Linked DNA regions of Arabidopsis thaliana. The main gene of each other region encodes a partner of the protein of the gene in region 2 in a complex. Each region holds a gene or a part of one and is shown on either strand. Other genes may lie near its edges.

Region 1 (12,937 bases), on a different chromosome or scaffold from region 2:
TGAAGATGGGAAAATAGATGACTTGATGGACATGGAAGAGCTTCTCTATTATTGGAAGAATCTTAATAGTCCAATCTTCATTGATCTTGTGACTAGATTCTATGGAGAGCTCTGCACTGACCTGTTTCCAAGCGACCATGACGATTAAAGATCATTGAAATGGGTTTTATAATATATGCATGATAACACAGAGCATTGGATACAGAGTAGCTTTCTCTGTGTTCTGTTTTTTTTTTGTAAGTTGTACAACTTCAAGTGACAGGAACTTGATTTTACTACATTAAATCACGGAAATAAAAGATAATAAGAAAAGATTATTAAAGGATGGTACATTTCACATTTCTATTTACCAAGATTTCCGGTAAACCCCAGAATTCAAAAGATGAGAAATCTCAAGGTTTGGTTGCTTCTTCCCTCACCAATGGTAGTAGGCATTATTTCTCCGGAAAATAATCAAGGGGGAGCCTCGTCGTCTTCATAGGTATTATGTGGACGTGGAATCTTAGAATCAGGGGAGTCAATGAAAAGCGAAACCATGTATGTGGGACCTGTTTCAGAAACAACTAAGACTTGAGAAAGAGACTGACTCCACTCTCCAGTGGTTTCAAGGAAATCTCGAGGGACCTCTGATAGTACGCCAACGGCAGTGATGGTGATAGGGCCAGTGTAGTTAAACTTCCTCAAATTACGTTTTATAGACGGACCTACCCGAAGAGCATCATAGCCATCCGGAACCGGACACCCCTTTATCTCCCAATAGACCGATATTGTGGCCACAGCTGCCTCCCTCCATCATTCAAGGCCTTAAAGGTAAGAAAAGAAAAAAACAAATTCAGAATATATATATATATATAAGTTGTAGGCTATCTATGCAATTAGTCGATGAATTTGCAAAGAAACATGAAGAGATAAGGAGCAGAGAAATTTACCTGAGAGATAAGCAGAGTCGGTTCGGTTTCGAAATCCCTGATTGAAAGATAAAATTAAATATCAACCCCGCAAATATATAGGGTTGAGAATGGGCTTCGCTTTAATGGGCCTAGATTATTTTCAATCGGCCTTTCCCGTGCACCAATTCTAGTGTATTTTTTAAAGTTTTTTTTCTTGTGTGTAGTGATCGTTTATGTTAGTATTTTTTACATCATACAATGTCATTGAAAAAACTCTTTCAAAGTCTAATAGGATTGCATGTCTCGGATATATTATTTTTACTTTCTGAAAACTCTTTAAATAATTTTCATAATTATGAGAAGAAAAAAAAGATTTTTGCAAGTTTAAATTTTTTAAAAAGATTCAGATTTTTTTTTCGTATTTGGACCTTGATTTTACAGGACCGAAACTGAGTAGCAGCCTAACTTCATGTAGCAAGAAAGCTAGTATTGTGATCTTCTTACTAATTATGCTATTTCTTAAATGTAGTTTTGTAACTTTGTAACGTACGTTGAGAATGAAATATTAATTAAATGTTATAACTATAACTTATATAATTAAAATGTTAGAAATATGTTTTCTAATACTAAAATAAAAGATATGAGTAGAGAAATCAAACAATCACTCACAAAACAGAGTTCTAGGGGTAGGATCGACCAAGTGTCTTGGAAGTTATAATTGGATCAGATGATCTGGAACAGGATAATACTCTCAGTGGCTTCCAAGAAGCAGAGCCCAGAAGCATCACACCTCGAGATTCTACAATATTTTATCAAATTGCTTCTTACTCATTCAAAACTATATAATAAAATAAGAACACAAACAATTCAAAACTTTTGAATCTGAATCTAAATCTTCTTAGTTCACCCAATAAAGTAAGAAAACAAAAAAAAGAGACTCAAGGCTCTTTCTTTTCATAGTTCTCTTATAGTATAGTTGAGCAAACCCGGAAAAGAAAAGTCACCTCCTCACAAAGTGTCCAATGCCTCAGCTGGATCGTTCTAGGGTTTCCACGACCAAACTGATCCTCTCTGTGGCCGTCGAGGGCGACTACTACGGTGGATCATCAGCCGCCGTTCCCTTCAAATGGGAATCTCAGCCCGGAACTCCAAGACGACTCTCCAAACGATCCTCCTCTTCCGGTTTCAATTCTGATTCTGATTTCAATTTTCCGGTTTCAGCACCACTAACACCTCCTCCTTCTTACTTCTACGCTTCTCCATCCTCTACAAAACACGTAAGCCCTAAAAAAACCAACACTCTCTTTAGTTCCTTGCTTTCCAAGAATCGTAGTGTGCCATCTTCTCCGGCTTCTTCTTCTTCGTCGTCCTCGTCTTCAGTTCCATCTTCTCCATTGAGGACATCTGATTTAAGCAACAGAAGAAGATCAATGTGGTTTGAATCTGGTTCGAGTTTAGACTACGGATCGAATAGTGCTAAATCTTCTGGATGTTACGCTTCCCTTGTCAAGGTGTTGCTCAGATCATGTTAAATGATTCTGCCTTTTTTCTTATATTTAACTCTCTCCTATTTTCTTATTAATTTTCACTTCTTTTTTTTCTTTTTTTGTAATCTTGGAAATAATTTCTAAAAACTATGTTTCATCGATTCATATCATCATCTCTATGAATCAATTGATTGGATCATATGGCTTCTATTTTTGTCTTTAAAAGACGTGCTTTTGTATAATTAGAAATTTCGACAAAAACATACTATAACGAGATCAGATCTAGTATACATGTTGATTGTTGAGTATTGTTCTAGTTGTGTGCAGTCATGTGAGACCACCATAGAATTAACAATTAACTTTCACTTACGGTGTTACGGTCAAATCATTTCATTAAAAAAAAAGTTCTCAATGATTGAATTAACTGTTATTCTATTTTTTAGGTTCGTTATGCGGGAACACCCGTCACGTGACACCACATGAGCACTTCAAAGCTGCGCTCTAAATTGTATAAGGGATACACTTCTCGTTTGCAGATTTTCAAATTAATCATATCAAGTTTATGGTTCTGATACAAAATTTTCACAGACTTTGGTCAAATTTCAAATTCAAAATCATTTTTCCACCCTCGGCCGTAACACAATACATAATAACTCAAGTGATTTCTCCAAAGATTTAAAAGACGAAATTGCCCTCTTCTGCAGCAGAAGATAATGCTCCATCTTCCATTTCACGGAGGGCAGTTGCAGTTGAATCATCTATTCCCAGCAGATATTGTAGCCTCAAAACTTTTTCCGGTGCGGGTTTGGGATCACTCTTTGAATAAATAGCATATAGATCAGATAATTCCTCTGAGACCTCCCATGACATTGGCTCAGCCGGCACAGCTTTGTCACATGCAAGCAAATCATTCAGCGACAAGACCTGTAAAACCAAAAAAAAAAAGCATACATACATACACAATTTAGACCCAGAAGCTGAAATATCCATGTTTTCTGTCACGATAAGAGAGGGAAAAGATGATTTGCATACCACTCCTTTAGAGTTTCTCTGCCTGAGTAATGCCACGGCTTGGACCAGCGAATTCGATAATCTACTCTGAGCGAGATCATGGACAACTCTTTTGGCTTTTTCCACATCAATACTGAGATCGGATGGGATTGTCTGGTAGACTTCGGTTTCATCGAATTCACCAGTTCCTGATGAGAAGATGTCACTCACTGTCTTCTTGAATAATTTCTCTCTCAGACTCACAGCGATCATGCTGTCCAGGCTGACATTTGCCTCCTTGAGCTCCCGTATCTGCTTTATGTTCAGTCTTCCTTGGTTAACAGCGGTCTCTATCGCGTTTGCCATTTTTGTGGTGGTTATATTCTTGATAACCTTCTCGGCTTGTGGCTGAGGCAAACCAACTTGTTTTTGCAACTCGTCTAGCTGCTCTACTCTAGCCTTTGTCAATTGCCCATCAGCTAAAATCACTTCAGCTTGTTGCCTAAAAGCCTGCTCGGCTAAACCTACGTGAATGTTGACTATTTCTTTCGAACTCAATCCGAGAATCCCACCAAGCTGATTTAGAAGCAAGTACTCTGAATCGTCTCTCTTTGTTGTGATCTGGGCGCCAAAAGGGATTCTTGTTACCTCTCCAGTTACACAGTAGAGCAAGTATGTTTTGTAGAGATCTATTCTGTCCCTGTCGGGAAGGTCATCTTTGAGAGTTATCTCAGTCTGGCCAGGCTTTCCCATTTTCTCAGCGAGTTCCTTGTCGGGTCTTGTCTTTCTGAGCGATTCAAGGGATCCCCATTCTTCATCTTCATCATCTTCTTCTTTCTCTTGAACAGGGTCCTCCTCAGGTGCCTTATCAGAAGATTCTCCCTTGATATCAGCCACCATTTCAGTCACAACCAACGTGTTGAAAGCAATCATCTTCTTGAGCTCCTTTGCTGAATCAGTACGGTTCTCGGCTGCTCTTGCTCGTCTGATATAGTTTGTGAAAACCCTACGGACCTGCATCAATGAAGGGATTTGATTTTCATGTCTTGCTATGAGAAGTCAGAAAATTTTAACAAATCCTAATACCAAGCATGGAGAAAGTAAATAGTGTGATACTCACAGCTTTGCTAGCAATAGACATGGCAGTCTCTCTGGATAACCGAAGACCATGTGCAGCCTTTCTAACTGATTTGCGAGTTTCAGCATCATAACCATCCACTCCAGAAGAAATGGCATCCCTGACAACCTGGAAAGATTAAACAAAAAGGTAATTAGAGGTAAAACCTTTTGGTAACAAAATGCGAAGGCAGAGAGGGAAGCAGAGGGAAATTGCAGTGCCAAGACCCAAGACCATGAAAAAACCCTTGATAAAGGGAAAAGGGAGGTGATAACTGGATTACCTTTTCAAATATGGTTCCACAGATTTCTGCATGAGCTGTATCAACAGTTTGCTGGGGAATACACAACATAACTCTTAACCTTAATAAAGCAGCAACATTGTCATCGCTCAGCTCTCCATCAGTAACACACTGTTGAAGCTTCTGCCGATAGATTTCTGAGGAAGAGAAGGTGCTTGTCAGATGATTGGGAAAAAAAGACCAAATAGATACTCAAACTGTAAAATAACAGCATGTAACCCACTGAAACACCAGACTTGTTAGAAGTCTGTTAAGAACCAAATCTACAACACTAAAAGCTAGCTTAAAAGGATAAGGAACCCGCAAGTTTACAAGCCATCAACTAAATTGATACCCATGGACACATCTTACATTTGGGCGATTATGTGGCAATTCCAACTGTATACCTCATGCATAACATAAAAACATAAGATTTCATTGTGAACAGAAGGTTCGGCTTATACCTTCATGGATTGCGCCTGCCTTCTGTGCATCAAAGTGCAGCTCTTCGCAGAGCTTTTGAAGGTATTTTGCTTTACTGTCTTGTGCTTCAAGGTCACCACTAGAAACAGCGTTAGCAAGTCTTTTACGGTAAGACTTGGACGTAACATCAACACTAATAGCTTCAGCCTCTCGTTTTCCCAGACCGAGTATGTTTCTAAGTTGGCTCATTGCCACGAGCTACCATACAGTAGAAAGACAATTAGAAATGGAAAAAAACATGCGACTGGGATAGAGGACACAGCATCTGAAAACACTTACTCTCAAAAAAACTTGCAACTAAGCTTTAGTACATAATATCTTATACAAAACTGAGTATACCTTATTTTCTTCTAAGCGCCCACCAGATAAAGCATCTGTAACATATGCTCTATAAAGGAGCTTTAAATCATCCATTCTCCTCTCAAAATCAGACTCATCACCTAAGCCACATAGATCCAAGGTTGAGAGCCAATAATTTTTCTTCAGAAAAGAGAAGGTCAAAAGCATCTTCACCTATCAAAGAAATAGGGCCAACCCCGCGTGCAAATTGATCTGCCTCTGAATGACTTTTCAAGGAAACTAGCAGGTTGTTAAACTCCAGTACTTTTTCAAGCTCTTCCACGACAGATGCCAAACTCTTCCTGGAAAAAATCAGGTCGTTAAAATGACATGCATTGTAAACTACTATAAACTAGACATACTAGATGATCCAATTTGTTTCCACTATTAATTATCACAAGATACAAAAACGCCTATAAAATTAAAATCTCATGACTTTTTTTTAAATACTTATACTATAAGACAATTCACAAAAGCAAAAGAGATCATATGACCAATCAGTTTTTGCAATAACCAAAACTCAAAACTAAAGCCAAAACTTCAATCTCTTTTTTCAACCCGACCAAACTCAATGTTCAAGCAAAGGAATACATATACCCAGCTAAAGTCATAACTCATTGGTATAAGAAATAAAAAAGTTAAATGTGTAACCAAACTGTTCACATGGATAATGATTATTCTATACGATTTTTCTATGCATGATTCTGTAAGCAATATGTTAAAATGATTTACGCTGCTCGTGTGCGGGATTTGAGTATGCTGAGTGCCGATGAAATGTTCTCTACGACTACTTTTCTCGTATGCTCTCTAAACAGGTCTTCAGCAAGCTATGAGGGAGAAGAAACTGTCAGAAGAAGTACAACCAGAGATAGCAGGAAGTCAATGCCACAAAGAAATAGAGTACCTCATCAGAGAGCTTGAATGATAGTTGTGATTTTCTAAGGTCCACAAGGTTTTCTACGTTAATATCTGCAAGAACATGTTTAGAAACATAACCATGTAAGTTTCCATGCATTAAGCTGACGAAAAAGCTAAGTCATATCTTTTTTTGGTTGTCAAAAAGCCATATCTATTATCAATGTTAAATGAGAAGGGACCATTACAGTCGCATGCGAAGTAACAATTAAGGTTGGTATTCAGACAACTTGCTGATAAACGAATATTACAAAACCCAATGGACAAAGAAGTGCCACAATAATCAATATAACCAAGTCAAGCAAACTCAAACCCGTTCTACAAATGTAACATTACTTCCCATCTCAAAATGTAAAACATGAACAACATTACCTCTACCAACTAATTTTAACCGTTCGGCATACAGCTGCTTTGCATTTTCACGAATAGCAATCTCAACCTAGAAATGAGGTCAAGACATTAGCACAGAACTTCAGATTACCAAGAAGGAGTGAGTTGCCAAAATGAAACTTCCATAAAACAACTATTGCGCAAAATCAGAAGTATGAAAAAAATTGGAAATGCCTACCTGAGCATCTGTGACCTTCAATACTCGCTTCCAAGGTAGAAGGAAGGATGAAGCATCTCCAAACACAAGAGCTGAAACATATACAAGCCTCATAAATGCCTGCACTGGAAGCATACAACTTGTGATCACGCTTGTGCTCTCTTTCGAACAATCCTACAATAAACTTAACAAATACTAGGGACTGGCGACTCACCCGACGCTGTTCTGCATCACCTTCACGCTCCCCAGTCTCAAGCCTTTGCCTAAAAATCCTGCGACCAATCTAAACAAAACCAAGGAATTGGTGATTCAGCAATCAAGATCCTTCTGCATCAACTACAAAAAGGCTAACGGCTAATTCAAATGAAGATTAAGAATCTAGAAAGCACCTCCATGTGCATGGCAGCTGCATCAGGTTCGTCTATCCCTAAAGCATTTTTGAACTTGACTATCTTCGCCACTTCATCCCCTTTAAGAGACTGTCCTTCAGTTGGAAGCACGGAAGTTACATACCTAAATCAAGATTAAGATGCAAAGATTACTAATGAATTCCCCACACTAAGAGAAAAGATGAACACAGTATCCTTTGTTGACTCACCGGCAATAAATATCACAAATCTCAGCCTGGAATGCTTCGTCTCCTTTGTTGACACCGTACCTGCAACATATAAGAAGGATCGTTTAAGCAAACTTTTGTTTATAAATCCCAGACACAAATTGACAATTAAATGAAGCACTCACCTATCAGCGATCTTTTCTACATCATCTTTCGTCACAGAGGCAGGATCTTCGAATTCGGCAACATAATTATGCAAACTGATAGCAGCTACCTCCGGTACAGCAGAGTTCAACGCATATACGACAGCTCCACCGGCGGCTCCAGCAACAGCAGCCCCACCAAAGGCAATATTCCTGGAGCCGGCTAAACGGAGCCCAAGGCCGTAACCAGTAGCTAAAGACGCCGCTAATACAACAGCTGAAGTCGCTAGCCTCACCGGCGGTGTCATTTTCTCAACAATCGGTTGCAATCCAGTGAGCTCCTTCTTATTCCCATGGATACCGGGATTCTTCGCCTGCGTAGATACTGATAGTTGGTCGGAGGAAGCAGCTGAGCTACGAGGGAACGAAACTCGATAACGACGGCGAGATAGACACTCAGACTTGGAGAAACGGTGAGGTAAAGTAGGTAGGAAGTGAGAAAGAAGAGGAGACCGAGGAGAAGGTGAAATTGGAGCGTTAATGGCGGTGACGAGTGAGGGATTCATGGTTCCCTCTACTGAGAAAGATCCGAGCAGTCGTTGAAAAAAAGAAGAATCGTAGGGTTTAACGAAAAACAGTAGACAACGGAAGAAGATAGAGATGCGAACGAAGAAAAGGGGAAAGAGATAGGGCCTAACAAAACATCAAAATCCCCTTTCGAACGTCCAGACGTTTTTTAATAATATTATAAAACTACGTGTTGTTTTACTCTTCGGTAACGGTAAGATGTTTACATAAAAAAACAAATTAGACGCCTTGTGTAAATTGGAAACGCCACGATTTCTTCTCTCTTCTTGGCTCTTAGGGCTCGCTAAATTTTCTCAGGGCTGTGACCATCGACCATCGTCGTCTTCGCGGAGCTCAGTTGAAAGATGTTAACGGCTGATATACCACCAAATCAGTCAATCTACATAAAACATATCAATGAGAAGATCAAGAAAGAAGGTAATGCTTACGAAATTCATATAATTGCATCGGTGATTTTCTAAGAGTTTTTGCAATGCTTAAGTAGCTTGGTAATGCTTGTGTGAGCTTCTCTTGAATGAGTTGTCTGAGTTTAAAGTTGCTTAATTTGATGTTTACGAAGGTTAGATTAGATGCATTTAGAGTTATCTTTCTAAGTATTAGGGATTTAGAATTTCTGTCTAATCTTAATAGACCTGAACTAGAGATACTCTAACAAAGGTGCTTTATTTAAGTAATTAAGTAGGAAAGGCGATTGCTTTTGCCATGAAATTTGTTTAGATTGTTTGATTGAAGTCAATGACCTTAAGTTCTTTAGCTGCTGCTTTTGTTTGTCTAAGAGTAATGCTGTTCAAGCAGATCATTGTTTAATGTTTCCACTTGTTTTTTTCAGAGCTGAAGAGGTCTCTTTACTGTTTGTTCTCTCAGTTTGGAAGATTACTTGATGTGGTTGCGTTAAAGACTCCTAAGCTCCGGGGACAAGCATGGGTTGTTTTTACTGAAGTCACCGCTGCTAGCAACGCTGTCCGTCAGATGCAGAACTTTCCTTTCTATGATAAGCCTATGGTACCTTTTTCCTCTCTTATGTTCCAGGTTTATCTATCCCGCTACCGAAAAATGATTTTATCTTGTTATGTGAGACTATAAGCTTAGAAAGTTGCAGAGATTTACTTGGAGGGAAAATTGAGTTTGCTTGCTGATACTTGTTGTTATATAAAATTGAAGGAAGTACAACGACATTAGATGTTGAGGGTATATCATTACACAAGTGATTACTAAGTAAAAGACTAGAAAAAGCTAAATGCAATATTATTATTCAAATCGTGATGTGTGATCTCTGTGGGTGCAGCGGATACAATATGCAAAATCAAAGTCAGATTATGTTACTAAAGCCGAAGGGTCTTTTGTTCCAAAAGAAAAGAAGATGAAGCAAGAAGAGAAAGGTTTAAACTTTCGTTTCCATCACAAGTTCAGATCTTTTCAGCTCATTTCATCTGTGTTTTACTTCGCATCTGATGTTTAACAAAACTGCACATCACTTTCAGTTGAAAGGAAGCGACATGCTGAAGAAACTCAACAACCAAGCATGCCTAATGGCGCAACTACTCAGAACGGAATGCCTGTGGCAATTTCTCTTTCTCGCATCATTCCAACAATACAATATTATCTTCTGACAGACGTCATTATCGCAACTTAGTCTGTAAATCCTTGTTTCCTAATACCCGTCTCTGTAATTTCACAGCCTCCTTTCCAGCCGAGTGGGCAAGACACGATGCCACCAAACAACATACTCTTCATTCATAATCTTCCCATTGAGACGAATAGTATGATGCTTCAGCTGCTCTTTGAGCAATACCCAGGATTCAAAGAGATAAGAATGATCGAAGCAAAACCCGGAATTGCGTTTGTGGAGTATGAAGACGATGTTCAGTCTTCCATGGCCATGCAGGCTCTTCAGGGTTTCAAGATCACTCCGCAGAATCCAATGGTCGTCTCTTTTGCCAAGAAGTGAAAACCAGAGTTTTGTTATGCGGATGAATGGTAATGATATACTAATTAGTAGCTGTTTAAAAGCAAACTGTCTTATTTTATTTGGTTCGTTTCCGATTAGTGGTGTGAATGACCCCGAAGCTTTAGACCAGAATGTAATGAGATCGAAGAATTGAGAGTGATTTGGTTGGAGAAAATCTCATTTTAAATGCCTTATTATTATTAGGACTTTGGGGGAACTAAAACCACGAATTTAGAAATGAGAAGATTATGGGGTTACTGACATCAACCAGCCAAAAAATAGTCGCATTCGATAAATAGAGGCAACAAATATGCTTCATCTCTCTCTCTCTTTTTCTCTCACTTCCCTTTTTGTCTCTGACCTTTAAACAAAACTTAGATACCATTCTAGATCTGATGATAGCAAGATAATCAACAATTCCCCAAAATAAAAACAGAGTCCTCTGTTTTGTTCTTCATCTCTCACTAAGAGATTCTCATCTGTCGGCATCAAGTAGGTTCTGCATATTTAGAGAGAAATCTCTCTTCCTCCACGTTCTTCTCACTGTCTTTGGTACGCACAAAAAGAACAGAGCGATGTCAAAGCTAGACCTGGAGGAGGTGAACTCGATGCAGAGAGGCAAAGTTCATGGGCCATTCTTGGTGGAAAACATGGTGTGCCAGAAAAACCACATGTTGACCTCAAAGGGTGTTTTCTTGGGCAGTGACCCTCTCAAATACGCAATGCCACTTATGTTGCTGCAAATGTCCGTCATCATCATCACCTCAAGGCTTCTCTACCGCCTCCTCAAGCCCTTGAAGCAAGGCATGATCTCTGCCCAAGTCTTGGTAATAAGTTGTCTATATTTCTTTCTTTTTCTGTAATCGAGGAATCTCAGAACAAAACTTAGACTAGTCTATGGAGTCTGGAGCTCTTTTCATTTCTCTCTTTTTGCGAAATTTTTAAACGCAGGCTGGGATCATCCTAGGACCGTCTCTCTTTGGCCAAAGCAGCGCATATATGCAGATGTTCCTCCCCATAAGCGGCAAAATCACTTTACAAACGCTCTCAAACCTCGGGTTCTTCATCCATCTCTTCTTACTTGGACTAAGAATCGACGCTAGCATCATTCGTAAAGCTGGTTCCAAAGCCATACTCATTGGCACAGCTTCCTACGCCTTGCCATTCTCCCTCGGTAACCTCACTGTCCTCTTTTTGAAAAACACTTACAACCTCCCGCCAGACGTTGTCCACTGCATAAGCACAGTGATCTCCCTCAATGCAATGACCTCATTCCCGGTCACCACAACCGTCTTAGCTGAGCTTAACATCCTTAACTCTGATCTTGGACGGTTAGCCACAAACTGCTCCATTGTCTGTGAGGCCTTTAGCTGGATAGTTGCACTTGTTTTCAGAATGTTCTTGCGGGATGGGACACTAGCTAGCGTTTGGTCTTTCGTTTGGGTGACTGCTCTTATCCTCGTGATTTTCTTCGTCTGCAGACCGGCTATCATCTGGTTGACAGAGAGAAGAAGCATTTCGATCGATAAAGCAGGCGAGATCCCATTCTTCCCGATCATAATGGTCCTGCTGACGATAAGCTTGACCTCCGAAGTTCTCGGGGTCCATGCGGCGTTTGGAGCGTTCTGGCTCGGAGTATCACTCCCGGATGGACCTCCTTTAGGGACCGGGCTCACCACAAAGCTCGAAATGTTTGCAACGAGCCTTATGCTCCCTTGTTTCATCTCCATTAGTGGATTGCAGACCAATTTCTTCATTATCGGAGAAAGCCACGTGAAGATCATTGAGGCCGTTATACTCATCACCTACGGCTGCAAATTCCTAGGAACAGCAGCAGCTTCCGCTTATTGCAACATACAAATCGGAGACGCATTTTCTTTGGCCCTCTTGATGTGTTGCCAAGGAGTCATTGAGATTTACACATGTGTCATGTGGAAAGACGAAAAGGTATATTGTTTTGTTTGCATTTGTGTGATCAGATTTCTCTAAACATAAGATCGGTCCATGAACACATTATCAAACTTTTTCATTCATATTTTGCAGGTTCTAAACACAGAATGCTTCAATCTCCTTATCATCACGCTCTTGCTCGTGACAGGTATTTCGCGGTTCCTCGTAGTTTGCCTCTATGACCCGTCTAAACGCTACAGAAGCAAGAGTAAGCGAACGATCCTCGATACGAGACAACGGAACCTTCAGTTCCGGCTCCTGCTCTGTGTCTACAACGTTGAAAATGTACCTTCCATGGTTAATCTTCTAGAAGCTTCTTACCCGAGTAGGTTCAGCCCGATCTCTGTCTTCACACTCCACCTTGTCGAGCTTAAAGGTCGAGCGCACGCCGTGCTCGTGCCGCATCATCAGATGAACAAACTCGATCCCAACACAGTTCAATCCACTCACATCGTCAACGGTTTCCAACGATTCGAACAGCAGAACCAAGGAACCCTAATGGCTCAGCATTTCACAGCTGCAGCTCCATTCTCCAGCATCAACGATGACATTTGCACTCTCGCCCTCGACAAGAAAGCGACGCTCATCGTCATCCCTTTCCACAAACAGTACGCGATAGACGGGACGGTAGACCACGTGAACCCATCAATCCGTAACATAAACCTTAACGTGCTAGAAAAGGCACCTTGTTCTGTCGGAATATT
Region 2 (10,395 bases):
ACCGTAAACATTTTAAATAGTAGTAAAAATATGTCTCTTTCACATACAATGTAATCAGTCTGGATTTTGCTTCAAAATCATATGATTAAAAGTAAATTAATTCATTAGCTAGATAAGTAAAATCAAAATTTTGGTGCTTAATTGGTATTAGTCGTGTTCACGACCAATGCTTTTGTGGGGATCAATGATTGAAGACGTAGACCTTCCCATGAACGTAGTTCAATTATCTATCTTCCCAAGCAATAATTGAGTTATTAAATAAACTCCACTAAATCAAGTGTAGGATATAGCCATGCATGTAACAATGTAAGGAAGATATATGAACTTTTGTACATTTTTAAAGTATTGTGGAAGATATATATACAATTATTTTCATCACTATATATAGAAAAACTATAAAACGAATAATTTGACCTGGTTTTATACACCGAAATCTACCCTTAGTTAGGATTTATAAAATTTGATAATTAACTAATGTCCACCACCCTAACTCGAATCTTGATAAGCTTAAGATGGATATAAATTAAGATTCAAATCAATAATAGTCATTGATAAGACAATAGTCTTGTGTTTGACACCATATGTTTTTTGGGGGTAACAAACAGCTCAATGATATGCATTGTTTTTATGGTACACCGAATGATGTTCGATGTTTCCTTGGTTGCTTCCAAAGTCAGTCCAAAAGACAGTTTTGTTTGTACATGCTCACTCAATCCCCCACGTGTCCTCACGTGATATCAACGTACGGTCCTGATGGCCTCATCACTCCCTTTTCACACGTTTCATCCACGGCTCCGAATTATCGCCTCTCCAACACCTTTTCAAGAGATCACATTTGCTCTTTTAGCAGAAAAATGGTCTAATTTAGAGAATTAAAGTCCAATTGTGAGGCCCATCCTTATGAATTAGGAATTGAATAGAAGGAATAATTTTGATTTAGTTTCATGTAGACACTATTTCCTTATGATTTAGCTTTTGTTTGACAAAGCAAATTTTGTCAATGATTGAAAGATGAGTCAATTATGAAGCTTAAATATATGTGAATGATAATTGTAAGGATTATATGGATTTTAGTCATAGTGATAACAAAGATCACTTGGCCACATGTTTTGGTTATTTTTGAAAACTTTTTCTGTTGTTGAAATCCTGAATATATGCATGAAATCGAATTTTACCACATTACGGAGAAGAGCAATTATTAAAGTTGAATGTGTACACAGCAGAAAAATACAAAGAAAGCGTCCAATCTGTACATGTACTACAACATGATTGACTTTTTGGTAATGATAGAATAAAAATGAATATGTAATTCAATGTTACCACAATTTAATTACTTTGTAGTACCACGGATTAGTTAGATAAAGTAAACACAAAGGTGTGAACTTAGATCTCTTTATAAGTGGTTTGGTGGCTTCTCAGAGAGTTTGAGAAACATTACCATACTCTTTATTAGTCCATCCCCCAACCATTCATATACGATTGTGTGATATATGTTCTTTTCAATATAGTTATATAAATTTTCTCAAATAGAATGTTACAAACATATTTGATTAGTTTTGTTGTTGCTGATGATGACAACTAATTTTGACAATTTCAAAAATCATTTGTTGTTGTTGAAATTTCAGTCCTTTGTTGCTCATCATAGTGTAAGTCTATCAACAACAGTAAAATGAACAAAAATCTTTAGTATCGTATTATATACTATATTAGGTCCATACATTTTTACGAGTTAATTTGAGGTATCCACATCCATACACACAATATCTCATATTGGAGCATGTGATTTTTCTGCAAATAGTTTGTACGTACAATAGATATGATTGTGAACAATTGTAAAATAGTCACAAATAGTAGTACTCTAGTACTTGGCCACATTTCAATAATCTTTAGTGATCAATCTTATCACCCTAAGATGAATTTTTCTTTTTTGTTAAATATCAACATATATAGTCCTAAACCTACATTGAAATTTGCTCTCGTTATAGTTTGAAATTTATACAATGCATATCATTAATAGCATTGTTTGGTCCAAATCAAATAAATATAAAAACAAATGCCATCTAACGACCGACAATTATATATAGAGGGTATGAAATGAATTAAATACAGAGCCTATCTATAACACTCTATATCGACAATTTGCACGTTATGATCCAAATTCCAATCACAAAGATTAATTAATTACTTAACCTTCCTAATGAAACCATTAATAAAGTGAGTTTAAACTAGAAAACTATCATCATTGATTTTTATTTTCATTTCTGACCATCACTTTAATAATGCATTGACAGTATTGTCTCCTCGTGGCTTCTTCTTCTTTTTGAATTCGAAAGTTGTCTTTAAAATCTTCTGATACTTGATTACAAAGCTTTTTTACATTTTCTTCTGATAAGTGTTTGGTGAAGGTTTAGAACTAAACCGGTCAGAATAAACCATCTTATTGCAGATTTGTTATACGTTTTTATTTCCTTTGATAAAGACTGAAATAAGTATTGTCACAGTAGAGATAAGAGACGTTGAAACATGAAACCATTAGTAAAGATTCACTGAACATCATTTACTTTCAAGAACTGCTTTCTCCTGATTGTGAATCGGTAAGCTTGGTGCTGAAATCCCAAACCTTCTTGGCCAATTCTGTATCTTTGACAAGTGGTAATGGTTTAGCAATGTTGCTATCTTGGAAGTATTCCCCTGAAACTCCTGCAACTTGAGGATTCAATGCCACATAGCAAGTTGTTGCCGCTCCCTACAAAGTCGTATACTCAGACATTATAAACCACATAACGGAACAAAACCAAGTTTTATCCTTTAAGCAAGATCTGAGAAACCTTGTGACCAGTTTGTAAGTGATTGGTTACCAGTGTGAGGCTTCGAAATTAGAAGCATACCTGTGGAACAGACTTGAGTATATATTTAGCCACTGCACCAACCGCTACTGCATCAAGCCAATGCCAGAGAGGATCAGAAGAAGTATATGTATGCGTTTGTTTACTTGTGTGTAACCTTGTGAAGTATGGGGTGATGATAGTGGAATAAGAGAAAAGAAGTTACCAGCCAAATAGGGGTTGAAGTAGCGCCCGAGGTTAGTCATAATGGCTCCTGGATGAAGCGAATTTGCTGTTATATTGACTCCATCTTCCTATTTTATTCATACCAGATTTGAATCAATATAACCATGGAAACATAGATTTTGATTTGATAGATCTCTTGTTTTTCTAGTTACCTTCAGTTGCTTTGTAAGCTCGTTGGCGTGCAACACATTGCAGAGTTTAGATTGTCCATAAGCTCGCATACTACTGTAACTGCAACGGAGACCAAACCAAGGAAGAATGTTAGATTTTGATAGAAGAATTACTATTTGGTTCACCATTAGTACCTTGACTTGTCATTGATCTTATCAAAACGAACTCCTTCTGGATACGAGAACCGATGAGCTTCTGATGATAGGTTAACAATTCTTCCTTCTCGTTTGCTTTCACGTGATGTGCTCTTCATTGTATCTAGCAGAAGTTTAGTCAACAGAAAATGACCTGAAATAAAGTGGATCACAAATTCCATGCCACTGACTAAAAACTAATGATGATGTTAACTTAAGTATATAACTTTAGAACAAAGCCACATAATGTTGGTTTACTTCTCCTACTCACCTAAATGATTGGTTGCGAATTGCAGCTCGATGTTGTCCTTAGAGAGCATAAAAGGACATGCCATAATCCCGGCATTGTTGCTTACAAGATTAAGACAATTCAAAACATTAACCATCAATAAATCAAAACCGCTATATACAGTATTCAATAGCTTACATCAAGAGGTTGAGTGGAAGACCAGTAGATTTGTACTCAGACGCAAATTTCCTGACAGATTGCATTGAGCTGAGATCTAACTCCATGACATCGAGTTTAGCTCCAGGGACTTGCTTGACAATATCTTCCTTAACTTTAGCACCAGAGTCAGTGTTCCTCACCGCCATAACCACATGCACACCACGCAGTGAAAGAACACGCGCTGTCTCTACTCCTATACCACTTGATGCTCCTGAAAATATGAACACAAAGACAAGAAAACTTAAGGAACCAAACATGTCCAGAAAACTCAATGCAGGCTAGACTACTTTTTAAAGTTGTATCAACCAATGATCAGTTAAGCTCTTCCAAGCCTTTTCAAACCCTGATAGGCTATTAGGCTGACTCAGGGTTTGCCCAATCGATGCTACACTCAAATATGTATGTGCAAGTCTTTAGTGTCACCTAACAGGGTTCTATCAATTCAAGGACTCCATTGTTCTTGTTTCAGGCCCTAATGTAATATGATCAAAATATAGAAACGATTTCTACAAGCAAATCTGTATTTTTTCTTCCCTTGGCCAGGAATTGTATAGAGTTGTGATATATAACACAACTTACAAGCAGCTGAAACAGAGACGAGTTATTTTCCCTTAACATGCAATTATACATATGGTCCCAAACTTGTTGTACTTTAAAATTCACCAAACATGGAATTTTCAATCCAAATTCTTGAAAAAAAAGACAACTTTCGAACAAGAAACAGTGATGACCTCAATATTTATTAGAGTTGACCGAATCAAAGACAGACCCTGATGATAAAAACCTTAAATTCCAATTGTCTAAACAATAAAAGTCAAGTCTTTTTACTAGATATGAAATCAATTCGAAGACAGAATCAGAGAGGACAAAAGTTCTGGAAATTATAAGAAAAAAAGTCTACAACTTTAGACAACCCCATGTCGCAAAATGGCATGAAAGTGTTGATAGAAGAAAACCTGTGACTATGGCAGTGAGACCAGTCCCATCAACACCATGTGTGACTTCCTCTGCAGTTGAACGAGACGAGAATCCAGATGCTCCTTTCGATCCAAAAAACCACATCTTTCAGCTTTTTTTGTTTCTGCTGGAGAAGATGAGAGGAAAGAAGTCCAATAAACACAAACTATGGGACTTGTTAGCGTTTTTCTCTTCTTGAGTGGTCAAGCGATTTCGCTTTTATTCTGATTTAAATAACTTTATTTGTTCATATGTGACAGAAATGTGATTACTTTACTTTAATCCTCATGTCTCACGAGGTTGAGGTTGAAGTGTAGAATAGTGCATCTCCAAAGTCAAATGATGGGGATTTATTAACAACTTTCTTTTTAAAGGATTTAACAAATGTCCTTAAAATAGCTCCCACCAATAACATGAGTTAACTCCAAAATCAGAAGATGTTTTAAGCTCTTTCTGTTTGGTTTCTTACTTACTTATGTCTACGAGTTAGTTCACTAGACAACTGTTTTGAGTCAATGAGAAAACAGATAAGTAACACTTTTGTTTAGGCTGAAATTGGATAAACCATCTTTTTGCAGAATTGAAATGGAAATGATTTCAGATTTGTTTTTTACATTTTATTTTGTATCAATAAAGACTGAAATAAGTATTGTCACAATAGAGACATCGAAAGTAAAGGTTCCCTGAACAACTATCTACTGCAACGGTAATCATCATTGCGAATCAGTAAGCTTAGTGCTGAAATCCCAAAGCTTCTTCGCCAATTCTGTATCTTTGACAAGTTCTATTGGTTTAGCAATGTTGCTATCTGAGAAGTATTCCCCTGTAACTCCTGCAACCTGTGGATTCAATGCCACATAGCAAGTTGTTGCCGCCCCCTACCAAGTCGAATACTCAGACATTATAAACCAGATTACCAACAAAAACCAAATCAATCCGTAAAGCTAGACTGCTGTATCATTCTCTCCTACTTAAGCTGAGAAACCTAGTGACAAGTTTGCAAGTGATTGGTTATTAGTGTGAGGTTCAGAAATTAGATGCATACCTGCGGAACAGACTTGACCATATATTTAGCCACTGCACCAACAGCTCCTGCATTAAGCCGGTGACAGAGAGATCAGAAGAGACTCAAAATATATGTATGCGTTTGTTTACTTTGAGTGTAACCTTATGAAACATGGAGTGATGAGAGTTGAATCCGAGAAAAGAAGTTACCAGCCAAATAGGAGTTGAAGTAGCCCCATAGATTTGTCATAATGGCTCCTGGATGAAGTGAATTTGCTGTTATATTGACTCCATCTTCCTGTTTTTAATCATATACCAGAATTGAAGATAACCATGGAAACATAGATTCTTGATTTGCTATATCTTTGCTTTGTTTAGTGTAGTTTACCTTCAGTTGCTTTGCAAGCTCGTTGGCGTGCAATACATTGCAGAGTTTAGATTGTCCATAAGCACGTATACTACTGTAACTGCATGTGGAGACCAAATCAAGGAAGAATGTTGGCTTTAGAAGAAAAGATGGGATCGGAGAATTATACTATTTGGTTCACCATTAGTACCTTGACTCGTCGTTGATCTTATCAAAGCGGACTCCTTCTGGGTACGAGTAACGATGAGCTTCTGATGATACGTTAACAATCCTTCCTTCTCTTTTGCTTTCACGTGATGTGTTCTTCATTGTATCTAACAGAAGTTTGGTAAGCAGAAAATGTCCTGAAATGTATTTGGATTACAAAAACCGTTGCACTGATTAGAAACTAATTATATAAAATGTAGGACAAAGCCATAATGTTGGTTTGGTTATCATACTCACCTAAATGGTTGGTTGCGAATTGCAGCTCGATGTTGTCCTTAGAGAGCATAAAAGGACATGCCATAATCCCGGCATTGTTGCTTACAAAATTGAGACAAGTCAAAACATAAACGTCAATAAATCCAAACGGCTATAGATGAACCACGATATTTCAATAGCTTACATCAAGAGGTTGAGTGGAAGACCAGCAGATTTGTACTCAGATGCAAATTTCCTGACAGATTCCATTGAGCTGAGTTCTAACTCCATGACATCAACTTTAGCTCCAGGGACTTGCTTGACAATATCTTCCTTAACTTTAGCACCGGCGCCAGTGTTTCTCACCGCCATAACCACATGCACACCACGCAGTGCAAGAACACGAGCTGTTTCTACACCTATACCACTTGATGCTCCTGAAAAAACATGAAAACAAACAAAACAAAACTTGAGGATCCAACATGTTCAGAAATCTCACTTTCTTAAGTTGTATCAACTAATAGATTAAGCTCGTTCCTAGCCTTTTCAATACCCTGATAGGCTGATACAGAACATGTGCATACTAAACTACATACTCAATCTAACCAAAATAAGGAAGCAGCACTTCACAAAAGTATTGAAACGAGATCTACAAGCAAATCTTTTTTTTTTCTTCCTTTGGTCAGAAATTGTATAGTGTGTGATTATAACATAACTTAGAATCAGCTGAAACAGAGACAAGTATGTATATATATGTAACTTTCTAATAGCACATGTTATTTGCAGATCAAATGGTCCCAAACATGTTGTACTTTAAAATTCACCAAACATAGCAATCCAATTCTTGTGAGCAAAAGCTTGTTACTTATTGGCAAAAAAAAAAGACAAACTTTAGAACAACAAACGGTGATGACCTCCATATATTTATTAGGGTTGACCGAACCAAAAACAGACCCTGATCATAAAAACATCAAATTCCAATTGTCTAAACAATAAAAGTAAAAAATCTCTACCCTACATATGAAATCAATTCATAATTATAGAAAAGTCTACAACTTTAGACAAACCCAAGTCGCAAAAGGGCATGAAACTATTGATAGAAGAAAACCTGTGACAATGGCAGTGAGACCAGTCCCATCAACACCATGTGTGACTTCCTCTGCTGTGGAACGAGAAGAGAATCCAGATGCTCCTTTCGATCCAAAAAACCACATCTTTCAGCTTTTTTTCTTCTGGAAAAGATGTAAGGAAAGAAGAAATTAACACAAACTCTGAGATTTGTTAGGGATTTTCTTCTTTAGTGGTCGAAGGATTTCGCTTAAGTTCTGATTTTAATAATTCATATGTGACAGAAAAGTGTGATTACTCTAATTGGGAAGGATAAATAATGACGAGGAGAGAATCCTCGCTTCTCACGTGGAGATTTGATTAGAAGATTGCATCTCCAAAGTCAAATTAACAACCTTCAATAAAATAGCTCCACCAAAAACGTGAACAATTAAAGAAAGACCTCAGATGTTATAACAGTTACCAGAGAGCTAAAAAGATTGAACTATTGCGGATGGAATGGGCCGCGCGAACGCAGCCCCCCAAGGCAACAAATAATGACGCAGGATCTCCCACTTGGCCATTTGGGGAAACCTTAGGCTTAGCGCACCTCAAGTGCAGGAAGCCACTAGCCTAGGCCATGGGTATTCATGAACAAAAGATTGAACTACTGGGAATGGTAGGGGCTGCGCGAACGCAAACCCCCTCTGCCACAAATAATGACGCAGGCTCTTCCACAAGGGAAGACCTTAAGCTAAGCACCCTTCCGTTATGTGCAATGGAATTCACTAGCCTAGGCCACTCGTCTTCTTGATCACGAGTTGACCCCGTCCAGGTAAGTAATTTGCAAGCTTCGACCATGTTCTTTATTTATACTATGTCACAGACGAGTATCCATCCTCAAACTTCCGATGTGGGAGAAGCGATTATTGCCTTCAAGGCAAGGCTTCGTTACTCTAGTTCTATACCTTTGTGGGCCTCCTCAATGACTAATGTCTGGCCCAAAGATAACCCATTTGACTACCTAAAATAACATTTAAAATAATGTTCCATAAACATAAAACATTTAGCTCTTTTTTTTCAATTTCTTAACTCAGATTTTGTGGATCGGAAGTGACTAAATTTTTTTTTCTCGAATTAGAAATTTCATTATAAAAAATTTATGTTCTGTTCAAAATCAATAATTATATATTGGAAACCAAAAAGTTGAACCGTGATATTCGAAAACATTAACATAAATATTTTTCACTAATACCGATCTCTCCCATGCCACCACCTTGACCTACATGCCGCGAAAATAATAAAAATAATTGTTGCATTAGAAAAGAGAACAAACCTATAAACGTATATTCAATGAAAAAAAATATTGTAATTCTCTAAGCAGTTAATCTCACCAGGACTGTTCCCATCCAGGTCTGGATTTGGACATGCCGTAACGTCCATAAGGGAAGCCGTAATGTTGAGGGCGTTTGGCGTTTTTAAACGCGCAACAGCCAACACAGTAAACAGCTATGAGGAAAATAACAACAATGACGTTCACTAGAGAGAGTTTGTGCCAATCGCGACGTACAGTCTCTAAAACGCCAGCTCTACACGTGTCACAATCATAGCAGAGCACCGTCGCTGCGTTGTTCCACCGGTAACAATCAGGGTCTTGTTGTATCACCGTGTCCGTGTTGTAAACGCACGACGTCGGTGGTTTGCAGCATCCAGACTGTTTCCAAATATCAGAATATTTCAATTACTCGAATTATTATTAGCATGTAATGTTTAGCACTAGCTTATTTTTATGTTACAAATCTCTAAATGACTAGCTAGTTTACTAATTTTACTGATTATGAAAAAAATTGGAATGATTATAACGAGTACCTGAAGAGGAGATAAGTCTTTTTGGAGATAATCAAGAGGAGTCCAAAGAGCGAGCTTGGAACAAGTGACTGAGCCCAAGAGACAAGTCTTTATAGTAACCCAATAATTAGTATCTACCACCCTTGTCTTAAGCCAAGGGTGATATGCTTCAAGCTTAAACTCTTTATAAACCCTACCATCGACAACCACACCACCACTATGGCTAGTCACTATGAATCCAAACAAGGTCAAACCCATGAGTGCGACTATGATGAAGACCATGAAGAAGAGGTACACCCACAAGACCCAAGCCACGTCACAACATGCACCGACTAGACCAGCTACTGACAAGATCAAGATAGCTAGGCCTAAGATCAAAAGTGGCTTCTGAAGAAAATGCTCGCATGTCGTTTTGCTCCTACCCATCCATAGAGCTGATCCTAATAGAACTATGGAGGAAATTAGTGTTAGGATATTCAAGAATCCTATCACTGTATTGCTCATTCTGTTCATTTTCCTTCTCTCTCCTTTTTTATTTGTTACTAGATGATTCTTTGAATCTTTTGTGTGTGTATGTGTGCTGAAAATTCTTGCTGGCTTGTCTCTCTCGATATATATCTTAATCACATATCATTCAGCTACTTTATAGTAGTTGAGATTTTTATACATTAAAAACAATGTTGTTGATATACATTCACACGTATGACTGAAATACAAAAAACAAAATCTTGACAAAACAAAAGAAAAAGAAAGTGGATGGAATTATTTTGTTATCTTTTTATCTAATTTCTTGGTGTGTTTGCTACTTTTAATGTGATAATGTATGCGTCTTCACTTGCTTTAATCTCATCACTTTTGAATTTTGATGAGTGGCTTTACCTTTTTTCGCAATTTATATTTAAAAGTTATGTATTGTTTTTTTTAAAAAATAATTTCCTCGATTTG
Region 3 (8,582 bases), on a different chromosome or scaffold from region 2:
TGATGGCGAAGCATATTAAATTGAGCATGATAGTTTCTTTTCTCAGGTAGGGTTTTCTCTAAAGATTACTTCCTTCTCCATATTGTTTTAAAACTTGTTTCTAGGCCATCATTTCTCTCGTCTCTTTTTTTGTACCACTTTCCCGATGCTATTGATCGATTCTAGGATTAGTGTGCTTCCGCTCAACTTCATTTCAAAACCATTTTTTTTAAGGAAATAAATATATTCAAGATAATGGTGCCAACCTTCAAAACTAGTCTTGAAATGTAGGTTGTTTCATCACCATAACACATGTAATGTGTGAAGCAGTAACATAACAAAATTAACAACACACATCATTCATCTACAATAAGAACAAACCTTAACACACGAGAAGTACACCAATTGGCAGACTAAAAGAAGAGGAGAATTGAGTTCTTTGTCTCAGTTTTTTTTTTTTTGTTTTTGTGTCTCAGCCGGAATGGGTCTGAAGTAGAAGTACGGACAAGACAAAGAAACCTTGTCTGTCTCTATACAAACATTATACACAAATTCCAAAAAAAAAAAGAAGAAGCCTTTTCTTGTTATCTTTTTTGGTATATGCACATATAGATTTCCTCTCAGATATATGTGATTCTCACTCAGGTCTTCTACTCAAATAGGCTTTTTCTTCTTCTCAAGGTACGAAGATTATATATATAAATTCACATCACATGCTTCTATATAATAATAGTCATATAGATTAAGAATTGCTAAAAGGTGATCCAGAGGACCTGCGTATGCGTACCCTTTTCTGAGGTGATCTATTCAAAAGGATCGACGAATTTCACGCCCTTGTCTTGTGATTCTGCTACCTGTTAGAGGAAGAGAGCTCTGGCTCGAGAGTTGCAGCTCTGAGAATGGAATTGACCCACCGCTCTGGGAGAAAATCAAACCTGCCGAGATGTTTGATGTGCTTCTTGATGTAGGCACACCGGTCATGTAAGCATCTTTTGCACCGCCTGCTATGAGCTCTGTCGATGAAGAAGAAGGGGCAGCTGCCAGAGCACCCAAGAGAGAGCTCACTGGGTAAGGAGCCACCGGTGCATCAGCTAGAGAGGACGCAGAAGGATTGTATCTGATCGTTCCCATTGGATGATCAAACTTACATGTTGATCCAAACTTACAGAAGCCGTTTTGTACGTAGAAAGTGCACCGTTGCACACCCTGTTTTCAACCCAAGATAAACAACGGATTTAGAGACAGAAATGTTATAACTATGATCAACAACCTTTATGACATATTAACACAGAGCATACCGGGCGTAGAGGAAGACCAATGGGGCTGAGGACGCAATTCGCTCTTGGTGGAACCCGATCTCGAGGATGATGAAACTTACAAGATGTTCCAAACTTACAATCTCCTGTTTTCAAATAGTATTGGCACTCTGGTTCACCAGGTCTCTCTGGAAAGGCCTGTTCTTTCTGTATAACACCTGTAGGAGAGGACAGAGATGGATAAACCCCGGGAAGCGAAGGAGTGGTGGAAGTGAGCTGTGTAACTCCATATAAAGAAGTTGCCCCAACAGCGTGCTGCGCACCAGGAGATAGAGCAGGGCTCACAGGTGCCTGAAGCAAAAGCAAAAGTGAGACAGTAAGAGACTGTGGTGAATAACAAATGTATTGATGATACATCAATAAAAAAAAAGGTCACCGAGTAAGGACTCCAGCCTGGAATAGGAACGACCCCGGGGGTTAATAGCATTGGACCATAGGCGCCTTGCATATAAGAACCAGGAAGAAGAGTTCTTGCAACTCTCAAGCTAGAAGATGGACCTCCATACTGGTCAGGCATAAGTGACTGCACCGATGGATAAAACTGAGGTGCAGATGCTGGTGGTGGTGGGACAGTAGTACCAGCAGGCTGAGGATGATGAAATTTACAGGTTATACCAAATTTGCATTGCCCCGTTTTCAAATAGTAGGAGCATTCGTTATCACCCTACAAAGAGTTTATAAAAGATCATGCAAACTCGAGACTAGCCTTTTATTTGACATGAGTGGAAACAAAGCTTACCTCTCGTACAGGGTATCCATATATATTTAGTGGAACGTGGCTCATGGATCCACCTGCATTCTTTGGATGGTGGAATTTGCATGACGCCCCAAATTTACAAGTTCCAGTTTTCAAGTAAAACTGCCAGGAAAGCAGAGATCAATAATATCACAAAAAACCTTGTTTCATCACTTGGAACATATAAAATGACTGGTCGGGGTGGGTTACCTGGCATGGGGGTTCACCAAAACGTTCAGGATACTGCCCGGTAGCTCTAACAGTTGCTTCAACCTATACATGAATCAACATGAGAAAATAGTAAACTGTGGCCAAGCTAAGATGACAAAATGATAAGCTTTTACAAGAGCATACAAAGGTATCAGTAAATACAGGGAAACACCGGGTAGAGTCAATGCATAAGACAAAAAAAAACGTGACGTAAAGCACAACAACTGAAACCAGTAAAGCTTAACAATTTCCCCAGTTTAGAGAGACTCTATAAGGCCAGTGATCACCCACATTGCGGAAAAAACAGAGAGAAGCATTTGATTGTGTCCTCCTAGTATGGATGGTTTCAGAACAATAATAAGAAAGAAGAATGAATGAGAGGAAGAAATTACCGAGGCACGATCGCGAGGGTGATTGTAACGACATCTATTACCGTAGCCACAGACACCAGTTCGCATGTAGTAGGCACAGTCAGGAGCACCTGGTCTCTCAGGGTACGAGTCGCTACCCAACCCTAATCGCCACATCGATTCTGCAAATCACAAAATTGAGCACAGTCAGGGCCATTTAGCGGAAACCCTAAAGAGACCGTACAGTTGCTGAGAATCAAAGCGCATGCGAGACCTTGGAGTCCGGTATCGGCATCTGCAGGGGTCCAGTCGGGAGCTTGAGCAGATTGTGAGCCATTGAGGGGAGGATTGCGAGCATACATGTCCTTAAATTTAGGGATTTGGTGTACAGTAAAAAAGATACTAGTAAAAACTCCTCTCACCAAACTAGAAGAAACTAATAAGAGAGTAAATGTCAAAAGCTCATCGGTGGATCGACAGAGATTTACCGGAGAAGCCGATTAGAAAAGCTCTGAGAGAGAAGAAAAAAAGAAGAAGAAGAAGAAGAGATGCTTCGACAGTGATTGAGAGGAGCTTCTTCTTTGGTCGGTCTCTCTCTCTCTCTCTCTCTTCTTTCGCTCTTCAGGAATACCGTACGGTCTGCCCTCTGCACTACTGTTTCTTTTTTTAGCTTTCAATTTCTTTTTCTCATATTCTTTTTTAAATAATAATAGTATATAGTAGTAGTTTGTATTAATTTGTTTTGTGAGATTTATTTTTGGTTCTCTCTTGGTCCTTGGGTCGCCAAGTAAAAGCATCCCAGAAAAGGGAAGATATTTCCAAGAAATATACTACTTGACAAAACAACAAACAAAAAATAAATAAACTAATTTTTACTAGTTTCCAACCAAAATGACGGTAAGGTCCTTGGGCGGGGATAGCGCGCGAGTGGCCAACATGTGACACACAGACAGTTTTCTCACTTCACTTGCTAACTCGGGGAGTAAAGTGGTCTGGTCCGAAAGTGGGGACACATCCGTCATTTCTACCTGCTACTGTTTCTTAACTGCTCTCTCAACTCGCTCTGACCGAGTCTGACTCGACTCGACTCGCCTTCAATCAATGCCATCACATTTCTTCGTTTCCGCTTCCCATTTGTCGGCGCCACAAAAACCTTCTGTTGTTCACGAAGCCCTCTAGTACCATATATAGGCCCATTTATATAGCTAAGTCGGCCCAATTATGTTGTTAGTGTGCGCGGGCCAAATTTTAGATTCGAAAACGGCAGCGTTTGAGCTGTTACTTTTTTTTGCTCTTCTTGTCAACAAATCGACACTGCCGACTAAACAGCGAAAATCCCAAACAAAAAAATAAAAGAATGGCGTCTCTGTGCCTTTCTCTCCACCAAACCCTAACTAATCCCCTGTCGGCTCCCAGATGCAGACCACTCAGCCTCTCCTTCCCCGGATCCTCAACCTTCTCGATCCGCCCCTCTAGCAGACGCGCAACCGCCTTGACGACCCGCGCCTCCTACACCCCGACGCCGGCGACTGAGCGCGTGATTTCGATAGCGTCGTACGCGCTGCCGTTCTTCAATTCTCTGCAGTACGGGCGGTTCCTGTTCGCGCAGTACCCAAGGCTGGGATTGCTGTTCGAGCCAATCTTCCCAATCCTGAACCTGTACAGATCGGTGCCGTACGCGAGCTTCGTGGCATTCTTCGGGCTGTACCTGGGAGTGGTGAGGAACACGAGTTTCAGTAGGTACGTGAGGTTCAACGCGATGCAGGCGGTGACGCTGGATGTGCTCCTGGCGGTTCCGGTGCTGCTGACCCGAATACTGGATCCGGGTCAAGGAGGCGGGTTTGGAATGAAGGCGATGATGTGGGGGCACACGGGGGTTTTCGTCTTCAGCTTTATGTGTTTTGTGTATGGAGTCGTCAGCTCCTTACTCGGCAAAACTCCATACATTCCATTTGTCGCTGATGCCGCCGGTAGACAACTCTAATTCCGGCCAATATCTACCTCACTCAGTGTTCGGGTTTTCGATTCTAGAATCGGTTATTTCTGGTTTATAAGAGAGACCAAATCAATCAGTGTTGTTAATTAACCATTACCGTTTTAAAAAAAATATTTTTTGTTATACTCCCAACATTTGATTTGGCCCAATATGAAAGAACAGTATGGGGGGCCTTTAATGAAGCTATCATTGACTGAGTATAATTTTACAATCGTCGGTGAAAAGGTAACTAAGTAAACGGTAAAAAAATGAGCGCCGTCTATCTTACCGCGCAATGAATGAGAAGTCAATTTGGGAAACTGATCGGAGAAAAGAGGGAGAGAGGGTTTCTCAGCTGAAATCAAAATGGGTATTATCAGATTTCAAATCCTGAATCCGACGAGGATTTGTAGGTCTACTATATATTATATGTCTTGCCGTTATCTGCCATCATCATCATCATCATCATCACCACTCCGAGTATCTTCTTCTTCATCGCAAAAACCTAGTTTCGATTTCTCCAGAAGGTGGCATTTTGGTCACCCTGATCATCACCAGCAATATCAAAAGCCTGGAGAAGAAGGGGAGAAGATATTCCGGCTAGGTCTCACCGCAGATATAGGTTTATCTGTCGCAAAAGCTCTCACCGGTTATCTCTGCGGCAGCACCGCCATTATCGCCGATGCTGCTCATTCCGTTTCCGATGTGGTAATGAAAATTCTCATTTGCTGAGGACGAGAGATGATCCTTCCTTTGGTTTTGTTTCTCACATGATCATCATCATTATATCTCAGGTTCTAAGTGGTGTTGCTCTAGTGTCTTACAGAGCTGCAAATGTTCCCAAGGACAAAGAACATCCTTATGGTTACCTTTTCTCTTCTCTTTCCTTTGATGTAAATACATTATAATAACAATGAACTGAATTTCCCCATGCATACAAGGGCAGGTCATGGTAAATTTGAAACGCTTGGAGCACTTGGCATCTCTGCCATGCTTTTGGCTACTGGCTCTGGTATTGCCTGGCATGCTTTAGACCTTTTATCTGTATGACCACCACTCTCTCCTTTCTCTTTCTTTTTTAATTACTCATCTCCACCTCCACAACCTTGCTTCATTGTATGAGAATATATTGCACTTCATGTTTATCTTTTATCGATCCTCCATTGTTTGTTTTATTTGGGATATAATAAATTCAATTTACAGAGTTCTTCTCCCTTCCTTTCTCATTTGCAGATTGCACTGTCCGCAGCTCCTGAGGTAATTCATAGTGGACATCATCACGGCATTGATATGAATCATCCCATTCTCGCTTTGACTGTTACTATTGCTTCCATTTCTATCAAAGAAGGGTACAAACATCACTTTATTTATCACTCTTTTCAATCCAATCAAGTTTATCATACCCCATTGCTTTACGTCTACAGCTTTTGCTCTACCGTCGCTTCTTACTAGACAATTGCAAATTTTCACTTTAGTTAGACTTGCTTCTCAGAACCTACCGCCCCTTTTCTTTTGATCCTTCATCCCTATTCTCTTCACTTATTTTGATCCTTCATCCCTGAATCTTATGTTTCTCAGGCTTTATTGGATCACAAAACGAGCAGGTGAAAAACAAGGGAGTGGTTTGATGATGGCAAATGCTTGGCATCATCGATCAGATGCTATTTCTTCTCTAGTTGCACTTGTTGGAGTTGGTAAGCTTTTCTTTCCAATCAGTACATATGTAAATCAACTATATCCTTTGTTTCAATATCCCAGACCTGGTCACGCATATGGCTACTACTAAAGAACTGGAGACAATGTAGATCTCTGAATTCCATTTATTTACTTTTACCAAGTCTCTCTCATCGGTCCAGCTATTGTACGGAACTACTGATAAAGGGAGACATGAAGTTCTCATAAATCGTGAAATATGACTTGTGTGCAGGAGGTTCTATTCTCGGAGTTAATTTTTTAGATCCTCTAGCTGGCCTTGTTGTCTCGACAATGATTGTCAATGCCGGACTGAAAACAGGACACCAAAGGTACTCACGCTATATATGTTGCTTTTTCGATTTGTTTTCTCCATACAACACTTGTAATAGCTTGAACATGGAATAATGGTTACAAATATGTCTTTTTGGTTCCAACACCATGTCCATTGCTGAAATCTCATTTCTTTGTTCAGTATCTTGGAACTCGTGGATGCTGCTATACCAGCTCAGCAATTAGAGCCAATAAGACAAACCATATTACAGGTTGAAGGAGTGAAGGTACAGATTGTAGTATATTTCACTATTCGACCTTGCTAATTGCTATATAACATTATGGTGTTCTTTTCTATAATCAGTTATCTGTAATGAGAAAGCATGCTTTCATGTTTTTTCTTATTAATTTTGCGAATGAGTATCAAGACTTTCATGATAATCTTAATCCATAGGGATGTCATCGGCTAAGGGGTAGGAGAGCTGGTTCATCGTTGTATCTTGATGTACACATTGTGGTGAGTGCTGCTTCCTTCTGCCTCAGAGTAGAAAGAATTATCTCAATAAAATAAATCATTATCACCTTTTCCTTACAGGTAGATCCTTTTTCCAGTGTGAGTGTCGCACATGAGGTAGGAGAATATGTACGGAGACAGATTAATTTGAACCATCCTGAAGTGTCCGAAGTTTTTATTCATATAGGTATTGAGCATGCTGCATGGAGGTCTAATCAACTTATTCACTGCTTCTCGGTCTTAGCTATCATCTCAAACTTTCCTTGCAGATCCAGCCTTTTTACAGTTTTCTTGTAGCACCAAGGATCATGACAGTATAACGAAGGAAAGTAACATCTGCCAAGAGATTAAACATGTTGAAGCCACTGTCTCAGACATTTTTTCGTCGCAGTTGTCTGAGGTACTCACTTTCTATAATCCAGACCTAACCCAACCTCTAGTTATTCCTGTTTATTAGTTTCAAGAACAATGGAATCTTTCGCATATGTGCAGAAATTGACGATCAAACGAATTACACCCCACTTGTTACATAGCAAGATCTTGCTCCAAATCGTAGTCGCCATGCCATCAACCATGTCCATACAGTAAAGCTCTTACATGTCTGTACCTTTAGGCCATTTTGGCCACTCTCTTGTAACCATCTGACAAGTATTTGGCTGCTCTGTAGGGACGTCATGATAGCTGCTGAACATGCAGAGAAAGAGATTCTGAAGGCAGCCCCAAATGTGGCTCGTGTCAGCATTCAGCTTAGTCTTAACTCCGAATAACTTTGAAGGAAATAACAAGAGAAGACCCCTCTGCAATGGCTGCAACAACTATAATTTTTAAAAAAAGAAATACAGTGCGCTAACTATGTTCATACTGATTGTCAATATTTTGTTGATATTTCTGGCTTTCTTTACACTGCTCATCGAAGTTGTTTCTTTCTGATGAGCAATTTAATCTCGAAAATTTGCAACTTGATGATTCCAAAGCTGAGAAAAGTTTTGGGAATGTAAAATTGTTGAGCACTGATTCTGCTGCATTGGATACGATGAAAGCAAAATAACATCACAACTTTCCATAGCTCCTTTCAACCTTGACAGTGCTACGATGAGATGAGGGTAACAGAAACAAAAGGCAAAACATTTACTATAACTATGTTGCTATATTGACTCTAGCTGCTAAAGTCCTCCCAATTTTTGCGCTTGGTCAGTATTTGCAGAAATGTCAATTTCAGATCGAAGCTAGTCTATTCAGTCTCGTCAGTGTTTGAACCATCCTCTACAGTTCCGTTTCTGAACTTGGAGGACACAGGTAAGTGACGATGGATGCGCTTTGTAGACTTTGTTCTTGACTCCTCTGAAGCCTTTCTCTTCTTATTAGACTTTGTTCTCGACTCCTCTGAAGCCTTTCTCTCCTTATTCGAGTTACCAAGGTACCCAAAAGCAAAAGCTTCCAGTGCCTTTGTAGTCAAGGGTCGGGTCCTTGTACTCTGCCTCCGTTCAGGAAGGAGATCCGCGGTTACTTGCAACTCCTGAGGCTTACACTGCTTTTC

The links.
Region 1: Tic32-IVa (region 2) and TIC110 share a complex: the UniProt entries of both Arabidopsis thaliana proteins name them as parts of the tic complex.
Region 3: Tic32-IVa (region 2) and Tic20-II share a complex: the UniProt entries of both Arabidopsis thaliana proteins name them as parts of the tic complex.

Annotation. Positions count from the first base shown.
Region 1 is NC_003070.9:2,127,251-2,140,187, forward strand, and holds TIC110 (translocon at the inner envelope membrane of chloroplasts 110), read right to left. Parts: upstream 8,454-12,937; 5' UTR 8,314-8,453; coding exon 7,790-8,313; intron 7,707-7,789; coding exon 7,647-7,706; intron 7,562-7,646; coding exon 7,438-7,561; intron 7,332-7,437; coding exon 7,263-7,331; intron 7,169-7,262; coding exon 7,070-7,168; intron 6,941-7,069; coding exon 6,874-6,940; intron 6,556-6,873; coding exon 6,491-6,555; intron 6,414-6,490; coding exon 6,319-6,413; intron 5,889-6,318; coding exon 5,761-5,888; intron 5,688-5,760; coding exon 5,587-5,687; intron 5,446-5,586; coding exon 5,229-5,445; intron 4,923-5,228; coding exon 4,768-4,922; intron 4,614-4,767; coding exon 4,488-4,613; intron 4,382-4,487; coding exon 3,410-4,381; intron 3,302-3,409; coding exon 3,053-3,301; 3' UTR 2,803-3,052; downstream 1-2,802. Other genes in the region: AT1G06923 (transcription repressor OFP17-like protein), read left to right, coding at 1-148; AT1G06925 (endonuclease/glycosyl hydrolase), read right to left, coding at 454-787, 901-966, 1,330-1,361; AT1G06930 (TPRXL), read left to right, coding at 1,913-2,422; AT1G06960 (RNA-binding (RRM/RBD/RNP motifs) family protein), read left to right, coding at 8,680-8,752, 9,165-9,337, 9,621-9,714, 9,817-9,896, 10,014-10,283; CHX14 (cation/hydrogen exchanger 14), read left to right, coding at 10,859-11,110, 11,235-12,230, 12,327-12,937. UniProt on the Arabidopsis thaliana protein: Involved in protein precursor import into chloroplasts. Forms a voltage-dependent cation-selective channel at the inner envelope of chloroplasts, which specifically responds to a transit peptide.
Region 2 is NC_003075.7:12,223,662-12,234,056, reverse strand, and holds Tic32-IVa (NAD(P)-binding Rossmann-fold superfamily protein), read right to left. Parts: upstream 5,155-10,395; 5' UTR 4,887-5,154; coding exon 4,781-4,886; intron 4,036-4,780; coding exon 3,804-4,035; intron 3,728-3,803; coding exon 3,648-3,727; intron 3,531-3,647; coding exon 3,377-3,530; intron 3,303-3,376; coding exon 3,224-3,302; intron 3,140-3,223; coding exon 3,052-3,139; intron 2,936-3,051; coding exon 2,889-2,935; intron 2,747-2,888; coding exon 2,564-2,746; 3' UTR 2,339-2,563; downstream 1-2,338. Other genes in the region: AT4G23420 (NAD(P)-binding Rossmann-fold superfamily protein), read right to left, coding at 5,495-5,659, 5,827-5,873, 5,997-6,084, 6,175-6,253, 6,344-6,497, 6,598-6,677, 6,761-6,992, 7,664-7,747 and 2 more; TET5 (tetraspanin5), read right to left, coding at 8,851-8,884, 8,997-9,316, 9,472-9,963. UniProt on the Arabidopsis thaliana protein: Involved in protein precursor import into chloroplasts. Part of the redox regulon consisting of TIC32, TIC 55 and TIC62.
Region 3 is NC_003071.7:19,590,324-19,598,905, reverse strand, and holds Tic20-II (putative conserved protein ycf60), read left to right. Parts: upstream 1-3,904; 5' UTR 3,905-3,948; coding exon 3,949-4,575; 3' UTR 4,576-4,719; downstream 4,720-8,582. Other genes in the region: AT2G47850 (Zinc finger C-x8-C-x5-C-x3-H type family protein), read right to left, coding at 787-1,185, 1,278-1,586, 1,672-1,959, 2,035-2,154, 2,242-2,304, 2,634-2,773, 2,866-2,953; AT2G47844 (uncharacterized protein), read right to left, coding at 3,467-3,613; AT2G47830 (Cation efflux family protein), read left to right, coding at 4,933-5,274, 5,361-5,430, 5,513-5,610, 5,800-5,915, 6,145-6,260, 6,494-6,590, 6,734-6,818, 6,986-7,048 and 4 more; AT2G47820 (arginine-glutamic acid dipeptide repeat protein), read right to left, coding at 8,277-8,582. UniProt on the Arabidopsis thaliana protein: May be involved in protein precursor import into chloroplasts. Not redundant with TIC20-I, TIC20-IV or TIC20-V.